2 linked regions of the Tribolium castaneum genome follow. The protein of the gene in region 2 interacts with the protein of the main gene of each other region in a pairwise test. Links are inferred from orthologs where the notes say so. Each region holds a gene or a part of one and is shown on either strand. Other genes may lie near its edges.

The links.
Region 1: the proteins of Tom70 (region 2) and park come close enough for resonance energy transfer, tested with the Homo sapiens proteins (3 studies listed by BioGRID). The link is inferred for Tribolium castaneum from reciprocal best matches to the Homo sapiens genes TOMM70 and PRKN.

The regions. Positions count from the first base shown.
Region 1 is NC_087398.1:11,671,468-11,676,803, reverse strand, and holds the start of park (E3 ubiquitin-protein ligase parkin), read left to right. Parts: upstream 1-1,669; coding exon 1,670-1,930; intron 1,931-1,979; coding exon 1,980-2,345; intron 2,346-4,615; coding exon 4,616-4,764; intron 4,765-4,813; coding exon 4,814-5,012; intron 5,013-5,062; coding exon 5,063-5,336. Other genes in the region: alpha-1,3/1,6-mannosyltransferase ALG2, read left to right, coding at 1-1,135; protein FAM32A, read right to left, coding at 1,145-1,267, 1,322-1,531. UniProt on the Homo sapiens protein: Functions within a multiprotein E3 ubiquitin ligase complex, catalyzing the covalent attachment of ubiquitin moieties onto substrate proteins. Substrates include SYT11 and VDAC1.
Region 2 is NC_087402.1:140,298-145,279, reverse strand, and holds Tom70 (mitochondrial import receptor subunit TOM70), read right to left. Parts: upstream 3,413-4,982; 5' UTR 3,287-3,412; coding exon 1,776-3,286; intron 1,722-1,775; coding exon 1,559-1,721; 3' UTR 1,428-1,558; downstream 1-1,427. Other genes in the region: polyamine-transporting ATPase 13A3, read right to left, coding at 30-451, 509-737, 787-1,011, 1,057-1,075; nose resistant to fluoxetine protein 6, read right to left, coding at 4,061-4,198, 4,249-4,394, 4,458-4,768, 4,814-4,982. UniProt on the Homo sapiens protein: Acts as a receptor of the preprotein translocase complex of the outer mitochondrial membrane (TOM complex). Recognizes and mediates the translocation of mitochondrial preproteins from the cytosol into the mitochondria in a chaperone dependent manner.

The sequences.
Region 1 (5,336 bases), on a different chromosome or scaffold from region 2:
TCTTCTAACCAACCATTTCGACAAAAACCACGCTTTTGAGGAGCTCAAGAATGGGGAGTTCCCCGTTCAAGTGTACGGCGACTGGCTTCCGAGACACCTCTTCGGAAGGTTCCAAGCACTGTGCGCTTACATCAGAATGATTTATTTAACACTAGTCTACGCAATTTTCTACCGTACCACTCAAAAGCCTGACGTGTACTTTGTGGACTTAATCCCTATGGCTGTGCCAATTTTGAAATTATTCGGCGAAAAAGTTATCTATTATTGTCACCACCCGGACTTGCTCGCCAGTGCGCCAGGGGGGGCCTTAAAAAATTTCTACAGGAAGCCCATAAACTGGTTGGAGTTAAAGTCCACAGCTCGGGCTGATATCATTCTAGTGAATAGTGAGTACACGGCTTCGGTCTTCCGGGAGACTTTCCCCCAAATCACAAAGACTGTACAAGTGGTGTACCCCACAGTGGCCTCCTCGTTCTTAGAAGCCGTCAAAAACACCAAAAACCCCAGACCAATCCACCAAATAATCCCAGAAATACCCCAAAACGCCGCCTGTGTCTTCCTCTCCATCAACCGCTTCCATCCCGCCAAGAAACTGGACTTGGCCATCAATGCGATGGAAATTTTGCAAAGAATCACCTCGGAAAATGAACGTAAAGGCATTTTCTTGGTTATGGCCGGGGGCTACGACCCCCAATCGTCCATAAACGCCAGTTATTTCACCGACTTGGAGAAACTCGTCGCTGAGAAGGGGCTCCAAGACAAGATTATTTTCCTCAAGTCGCCCCCCGATGACGTCAAGACGGAACTTCTGATGGCGTGTGACTGCCTCGTTTACACGCCCGTGAAGGAGCACTTCGGCATTGTCCCCCTCGAGGCAATGACGGTGGCTAAGCCCGTCATTGCGTGCAACAGTGGGGGCCCCCGAGAGACAGTCGACCACGGAAACACGGGCTATTTATGCGAACCGACCCCCGACAGTTTAGCGCAATTCATGTACAGGATATTCAAGTCGGATAACAAGGCAATGGGGCTCAAGGGGCGCAAAGTGTTGCAGGAGAAATTCTCAAATGAGAGTTTTGCAAGGAATTTGAAGAAAATCCTTGATCACACTAGTGTAAATAAGAAGTTTATTTAAATAAATATTTTACTTAGTCCAAGAGACCTTAGGTATGTCAAAGTGTTCCGTGAGCCCGTCCAAGTGTTGGTTGAATTTTTCTACTCTTTCTTTGTGTGTCATTGACGCTTTTTCCAAGATGCGTTGAGTTTGCTGCAAATTGTAACAATCAGGCAACAAATTTAACACGAAATGTGATTTATTTACCATTTTTTCTTGCTGTTTTAAGAACGCAAGTTCGGCTTTTGTTTTTTGCCTCGCAGGCTTTGATTCCGGTGTCTCACTTTCGACAATTTTGCTCACTTGCTCTAACAACTTCTTATCTTTCTTCTTCTTTTTCTTTTTAATGCTGTTATCACCTTTTAATTGCAATTTTCCCTTGCAAACTTGTGCGTATGGGTCGTCACTTTGCCCCATCTTGTTTGTTTTGACGTTTCTGGAATTTTTCACACAACAACCAACGTAACGGATCGACAATCCCCAAGAATGAGGTTATGAAATTTCCTCACAAAAAATGTTTTTTTCTAAAAATAAGCCCGGCCGCGGTTACCACAGATGATGAGTTTTATTATCAACGTAATTAAAGATTTGTTGCATAAGATGTTACAATTTCTGTCATTTAGTAGAAAAACGCTGAGCAATAATTTGAGTATTTACATAAAAACCAACACAGGGAATACGCTTTCGGTCGATTTGGACCCCACCTGGGACATAAAAGAGGTGAAAGAGTTCGTTGCGCCCCAATTGGGACTGAAACCAGGCGAGGTAAAGATTATTTTCGCTGGAAAAGAGCTGGGAGACAACATTAGTATTTCTGTGAGTTTTGCCCTCAATACCACTAGTCGTAACCAGTTAGTCATTCTAGGAATGTGATTTGGGCCAACAAAGCACCCTCCACGCTATCAAAATCACCAAAAAGCCCAACCCTCCCACTTTAAACAATGCCGTAATTGAGGAAAGTGACGAGGGCAAACCTCTGTGTGAGACCTTATCAGATTTGAGTTTTTCAAACGATGATTACGAGGAAGGGCCCACCGAGCAACGCAAAGTCCACTTTTTTGTCTATTGCCCCACGTGTAAAGCCCTCAAAAATGGGAAATTGCGAGTTCGGTGCCACTTTTGCAAATCGGGGGCTTTCACGGTGCACTCAGACCCCCAAAACTGGAATGATGTGCTGCAGCCAAAGCAGATAACCGGCCTTTGTGAGAATAGCCCCGAATTGTGCGCCAACGTACGTTTTTTAATTATTTAATTGAAATTAGTCAAAAACACTCCACACTAAAAATAGTACTGGACAAAATTTAATTTTCCTTTAAAATGTTTATAGTCAAAATATTTAAAGTTAAAAATATTTACGCTTACTAAGGAGCATTGCGAAAATTTTTAAAATGTTTGCAATCGTAATGTCCGCTCACCTAACTAGAAGCAGCAGATTCATTAACACCATAAGAGCGAGCTAAACCGAAATTCTGGTACAGGGAAATCAATGTTAATTTTAAAAACTAAAAGTCGCTGAAGACAATTAAAAACAATATACGCCAAAATATTTTCAGATACTTTTTTAAATTTCTTTTTCTATCATAAAGTTAAAATTTTCTACAGTTACCAAATTTATTGAATGTAAATCTAAATTTGAAATTTGGGTTACTACTGAGGGTCTCTATAACATTTTTAGAAAATGTGTTCCAGCTATAAATCAGGTATCTAGCCCAGTCAAGTTAGACCAGACAAGAATTGGGCGGTTGGTGGCAAAAATTCCTAGTGAGTTGGAATTTTTTAAACGCGTTCTTTAGATAGACAGATATTAAAAATCCCAGAGGATGGAGGCTGAGCTCGAGATGGGGGAGAGGGTTAAGTGTGTCATTTTTCGTTTTATTTCTTATACCACGGAAACAATCATTGTCGGTTTTCACCTTCTTACAAAAATTAAAGCTGATGAAATTTCCTACAAAAATTGGTCCTATGCACTTTTGTTATAGGACTACCCGTAAGCGAGTTATAGGACTGAAAAGAAATAATTATTTAAAAAAAATCTGCTTCAAAGTAGAATGTCTTGTGACTTGAAAAAATCCAAATTTTACAACTGTTTCAAATTGAAATGATGAAATCTCTAGTATTGTGTAAAAATTGTTATAATAAAAATTTTTTAAACGTCCTTGACTGATTGATTTTAAAAAAATTCACGACGATAAGACCAAGTTCCTTAAAAAGTTTAGTTAAAAGTTAATGTAATAAACATCATCAGGCTTTTTACTCGTTCAAATTCTTGGAAGTAAACATTAAAAGATGGAATTAACAATGACTTAATGACAACAACACATGCACACACCACCGCCTTTTGACACCAGTTGGTGTCTTAAAGTGAACAAGACAGCGTTTTAAAAATGGTGGATGCGCCGGGAGAAATTATCAAATTAAACATTTCCAAATACTACTTTGAATAACTTTAGTCAAAAATGTACAAGTGTACAGAAAATATAAGAAAAACAAGTGTAAAACAATTTACTATTAACAAACTGCAAATTAAAAAAATGGTGGATGCGCCGGAAAAATTAATCAATATTCAAAAAAAATAAAAATAGATGTTTGTTGTTATTTTCTGACAAATGTATACATGTTTAAAATACTTTTTTATCAAACATTAACGCAAGTAGAGCAAACTGACATGAAATAAGGCAGTGGTATTTTGACAATTTATTGAAATAACGTTATGAAACGTAAGTTTTATGGGAATTTTTGAATGTAATCATTTCTGGACAAAGACATGACTCTAGAGGCAAAACGGCTCATTTATCAGCGTTTATCAGCAAAACATTTCTATCTTAGTGACCTCTATAACACCGTAAAGTTTGGCAACATCATTTTGAACGCTGTATAAGGAAGAGAAAATTATGTAAAAATAAGTAAGAATCGCTCCATAATCAAAACGACACACAAGAATAATAGTTTAGATTTTTTATTAGATTACAATATTAATAATAAATTATAAACAAAGACAATTGGATTACCATAACTTTTCAATTCTCCTTTTTTACCTGCTTTTTTTTCTATCTTTGTACCTGTCTTAAATCATTTCTTTTAATTAAGTGTCAATAGAAATTACTAGTAGGTAGCACATAAGTAGGTAAATTTAATTTTTAATTCTTTTAATATTACCTTTTTTGAGATAAAAATGTATTCAACGGGAATCTACTAAAGCGCTACAATAATATTTTGTTTGTGCGTGAGATGCGTACAAAAGCAAAGATAGACAGTTTCGTTTGGTAACAGAAAATACTTGATCGATTTAACGACCTTCGCTAGAAATATTTTAGTTTAGCTTGCTCTTAAAACACAAATTAAGAACGACTATGATGAACACGGTAAAAACGACGTTAAATAAAAATATTTTTTTAACACATGTTTTGAATTCAAATTTGATAAAACCGCTACCTATACCCTGGAAAATCTATTATTTCGAAAATCTATTAAATTAAAATTTTTAATTAATAATTCCTGCAGGTTCTGAACAACAAAGAACCGACTTTCGCCGAATTTTATTTCAAATGCTCGGAGCACACGTCCCTTGGAGAGACCGACGAGGCTGTTCCCCTCTATCTAATTCGTCCAAATTTAAAAGAAGTGCCTTGTCTAGCGTGCGCTGACATAAAGTAAACGCGAAAATAACTCCTAGCGTGAAAATAACCAATAAAATTTTAGCGAAACCGTGTTCGTCTTTCCATGTAAAGAGGGCCACGTTACTTGCCTCGACTGTTTCCGCCAGTACTGCACGACACGGCTGCGGGAACGCCAATTCTGGCAACACCCCGAGTTTGGCTACACGCTAGCGTGCCCCGCTGGCTGTCCCGACTCCTTCATCCAGGAGATCCACCATTTTCGCCTCCTGTCAGAGAGTCAAGTGAGCTCTGCTTCAAGCCCGTTTAATAGCGCGGACTAATTTTTTTATAGTACACACAATATCAGAGATTTGCGACTGAAGAGTATGTGTTGCGCTCCGGTGGGGTGCTCTGCCCCCAGCCGGGCTGCGGCATGGGCATACTGGCGGACCCCGAGTGCACCAAAATCACGTGCATCAACGGCTGCGGCTACGTTTTCTGCCGCCTGTGCCTCCAGGGGTTCCACATTGGGGAGTGCGAAGCGCCCGAAGGGGACGTGGGGGCCCCGGGGGATTGTTCGTACAATGTGGACCCCACAAGAGCCGCGGAAGCCCGTTGGGACGAAG
Region 2 (4,982 bases):
GGGGAAGCCTCCAAAAACCGAGTAATTACCAGTTAGCACACTTTCGTTAACAATACATTGTCCAGTTAGTAAAACTACATCACAGGGTAATACGAAATTAGCTTTCGGAAGAACGATTAAATCTCCAGGTACTAGTTCTGAAGGGTCGGCCTCTTGAAGGACATTCTCTGAGAGAAGATTTCGTCGTAACACTCTTACGTTATGGCACTTGGACGATTCGACTAAGTCATGCAAAGCCTCGCTTTGTTTTCGTGTTTGTCGTAAGGCAGTGATCACCGAAAATAAAGTGAGGATAAAAACGCAACATGCGTAGATGTAATAATGATCAAAACACCACAAAGTCATGGAAAATGCTTGGAAGACATAGAATGGGTTAAAAACCTCGTCTACGAACAATCTCCAATAGGACTTAACTTCAATTTCGATTTTATTTGACCCGTATAACTTTAACCTTAAAATAATGTGATTTTTTTAAACAATCAATGAAAAGTTAGTTTAAATTACTTACAAATCGACATAATCGTTATAAAATAACCCGTCCGTATTATTAACATAACTATCAACCGTTTGTGGAGGTATTAAAAGGTCTAGAGTTCCAAAAATTTCGCTATGGGGGATCCACACGTATTTCGCATGTTGATACGTGAAAAATCTTAAATATACGTGCCCGTAATTAGGCAATTTGGCATTTTCAGTCTTAATTTCGACAAAATCGCTATTCCCATGCACATCTTTAACTAAAAATTACAATTCAGTGGGGTTCACCCACTGCTGACATAACCTCACTCAAGACAATGTTTGCGTGTTTTAAGCTACATTTTCTATATCTCCACGATTTCAAGCGCGAAAACCAACTGGAAAGTAAGTAGGGAATGCCTAAAAATACGATTCCTAAAAAATGGTAGAAAAAAGTGCGTGTAGAGCTCCTGGTGAAACCGTAAAGGTCACACTGGAAGTCTTCAAGGTTCAAGTCGAGGGTTTGGTGGGAGGATTCACCAATTGGTTCATATTCTAAAATTGTAAATTACCTTCAGTCAAACAATTGCAGAAAATTACCAGAATTATTGCGTGGCATTGTCACATTGTTTTTAACACACAAGGGATACAAAAACTATTAGGTAAGCTGATTTTATCTCATTATACACATGTCAGCAACAAAAACAGGGAAGTGATTCATTCCTGCGTTGCCTACACAAAGAATAAGTAAGTGGGGGGAGGGAAACCATGCGTGAGGCGCGCTTTATCAAAAATTTTGATAAACTGATAATTTTCTAATCAGATCAAGTGAAACATGACTTTTATCACATGACCACGATTTAGTAAATCATTGGTCCAGTGACCCATGTGGTTGTGATCACATGACACTAATCCCTGCCTCTTATTCGTTGAGCATAGTCAAGTTGAGTCAATTGGCCAATGAAACAGCGTTTTGGATAGAAATGGTTTATTAAGCACCTGTTTGAAATTAATACACTAAAATTTTTGCGATATTGTCTGGAATGCCATATTTACACTAAAAAATTTAAGGAGGGGTACAATTTAATACAACAACTAACAATTATTTGTTAACCATATGCTGCGAATCAATCCCTAGTCGTGTAGTGACTTTTAATTGCGACGTTGCTGCATCTCTGAGCGAAAACAAATGAGTGAGTTCCATTTCAGATCGTGCCAACGCTATAGCTTTGTTGAATAAATCGATCGCAACGACTAAATTTCCTCTGAAACAAATGAATTAAGGGCAAAATTTATAACACAACACAAATTCAAAATACCTTTGAACCTCAACTGTCCCTAAAGTTTCATAGGCAAATTCGCATTTATCATCAATTTTGATTCCTTCTTTCATCAATTCGACCGCTTGTTCAATCTCACCTTTCCATTGCAACATCAAAAGACCTCGATGTACGTAAATCGAGGCATTTTCCGAGTCAATCTCTAGCGCTTTTCCATACAACTTATCTGCCTCTTCATAATCCTGTTTCTCGGTCAAAACTTGCGCGTACAAAACGTAAGTCTCGACACAAGTTGGGAATTTTTCAATGCCTTTCTTGAAATTGGCCAAACTTTGCATCAAAAGTTGCACGTCCTGCACTTGCATTGCGTGCCGATAATCCGAATAGCATTTTTGTACAAAAGCCACCGAAAAATTCGGATTTAAATCAACAGCTTTCTGAAAATCGAGTATCGCCTCATTTGTTTTTTCCATCAAAAGCTTGACTTGACCTCGATGATGGAAAACATCGGAAATTTCCGGGCCGACTTCAGCCGCTTTATCGAAATCCTCAAGGCACTCTGTGAGCTTCTCATTTTGCATGTAAATCGACGCACGCTTGATTAGTGAATTAACTTTAATTTTAACATCGCAGTCGGTGTTTATGATCGTGGTCAAGTCTTCAAGTGCTTTGTCTAGATTTCCAGTGAGAAAATAAAACGAAGCTCGGAGTGATAAAGCTTCGATTTTAAACGGCGATTCGGATTCACTTGAATTGATTTCTTCGGTACAAGATGGGATTATTTCTTCGTATTTTTCCGTAGCGAAAGCGAGTTTGGCTTTGAGGAAACCCGAAAGCTCTCCTTGGCCGAGTGGATCCCCCACTTCAGTCAATTTCTGATAAACCACATCCTCAGAAAACGACGAAAAATAAGTCTTGATAAAAGTCTTTGACGGAATTATAGGTTTTCGGTTAAGCATGGCCTCCTGTGCGTGTTTTTTACCTAACTCTTTCAAAACGCGATCAGCCATCAAGAGTGCCGTTTGATTCTGGAATTGTTGCAAAAGACACACACACGTGACGTCATCCAAACAATTCTCCCAGTCTTTGACAATTTCCTCAGCCTTGGCTCTCCTCATTAACGCCTTTTCGTATCTCGAATTCAATTCAATCGCTTTGGTACAATCAGCAATTACACTGCTCCATTTTTTAAGGTTTTCGTAAGCCGCTGCTCGATTTTGATAATACGTCGCTAATTCCGTTTTGAATTCTTCCGGACATGCCTCGATGGCTTTGTTGTACAAGTGGATGGCTTCGTCAAATTTGCCTTTTTTGAACATTTCGTTTCCGGAAGTTTTATACTGTTGGGCTTGCTCCAAAGGGGTGGGGTCCTTAGGGGGATCTTTGACGGACTCATCGATTGATATTGTATCGCTGGTGTCTTTCAATTGGGGCTTTCGGCCGGTTTTTAAGTACCAGTAACTGAGACCTAGAGCGCTTACAGCTCCGATTCCGAGAGCGATTTGCCATTTTTGGAGCGATGAAGTTGTGCTAGAGGTGGATGAGGCCATCGATTTTACACTACCACGGATAGTTGGACACACACACACGGGGTTCTTATCTTGAATTGGTTATTTATCGAAAATGAGGTTATGTAACAGATTTGACAGCCAACAAATTGACAGCTGCTGGATTTTTTTTTACTTGATTTTGTGATTTACTGGTTGCATATGCTAATAGATAGGTTCATCGTCTGCCTTGATTTTTGACGATATTTTCCGAATGGTTAGCTGTAGCGACTTGATTCTTGTAAATATGGATTCCGTCGGTCATTCTACATTAGAATCACTCTGTATAATACAGAAAATGAGTCGCTGAATTCACTGGAACAAACCGTTTTGCTCTACGGCTTTTAGTTTTTGAGTTACGATTTTTTTTCTTTAATAAAATTATCCACCATAAATAATAGCTACCCTAATATTAAGCAAAAAGTTTTTTAATTTTTTATTCTTGTGAAAAATTGATATCTCACGTAAAATGAGCCGTAGAATTCAATGGAAATTGCTCTACAACTTATAGTTTTTTTTTCCAACGCAAAGAGCACATCAAAATCTCTAAGATAACTTAGGAAAAAATGCAACCCGACTATTTAGATACTAGCTATCTTTTTATTAATTGAAATAGAATATATTTTAGCCCATATGTAAATATGCCAATGGGTAAAAGCCATTTAAGTACACAAACTTGTTTGTATAATTTTTTTTATTATATTGTAATTTATTACAAACAAAAATTATTAAGGAGTTAACCTCGCTGATAAGGGCAAGGTCGGTATATTCAAAAAGTTAATAATTTAATTTTTTTCTTGAATACTCACTTCTTTCAACAATTTGCAATAAATTAATAACAGGTGTTTCAAACACGAGACATAATATTACCGCACAAGCTCCAGTTATGACCATTGTACCCCAAAACTCAACAAACTACAATATTAAATTACTTTATCAAGCATAACATAAATATGAAAGTTTACCAAAATCGTATTGCTGATGGTGCTAGTCTCGTCCTTAATCCCCAAAAAAATTACATAAATCACCGGTACATGTAACAAATACATGCTGTATGTAAGTTTTCCCACAATAATAAATACCGGATGAGACAAAAAAGTGTTGATAAATCCTGAAATCAATTGAATGATAATTCATAATTCATTATTCATTACTTTTGAAAACGAAATAATACCTCCGTGTCCGGTGTAACAAATAAAAATCACGACACAAAGGGCAAGTGCCCATAAAGGTCTAACAAAACAGTTGAAAAGGGCGCTGTAGAAGGGATCACGTTCGTGTCTCATTAAGACAGTGCAAAGTAAATGAAGGGCGACCATAGTTGTAAGAGCAATGGCCATCAAGAAGCGATTTTGTCGTTTCGAAATTATGATTTTTTGATAATTTTGTCGGTAAAGCAGGTAACCTAGTAGTATTCCAAACGACCAAGGTGCTAAATGAGCAATGGGTGTAAGGTAGTAGTACTTCATGTAGCTCATGTCGGAACTGAATAAAATTTATAGAAAAAATCACGTATGTAACACTGCTTACTCAAAAAATAGAATTGCTCCGAAATTATTTTTCATCGTTACAATAAAAGTGTAAATAATGCAAACGAAACACGCGATTGCCATTCCCGTAACAACTCGTATTGTGTGTTTTTTCAAATTAATTATAACGAATGGCGCAATTAAGTATAGTTGCGTATCCACAGCTAGAT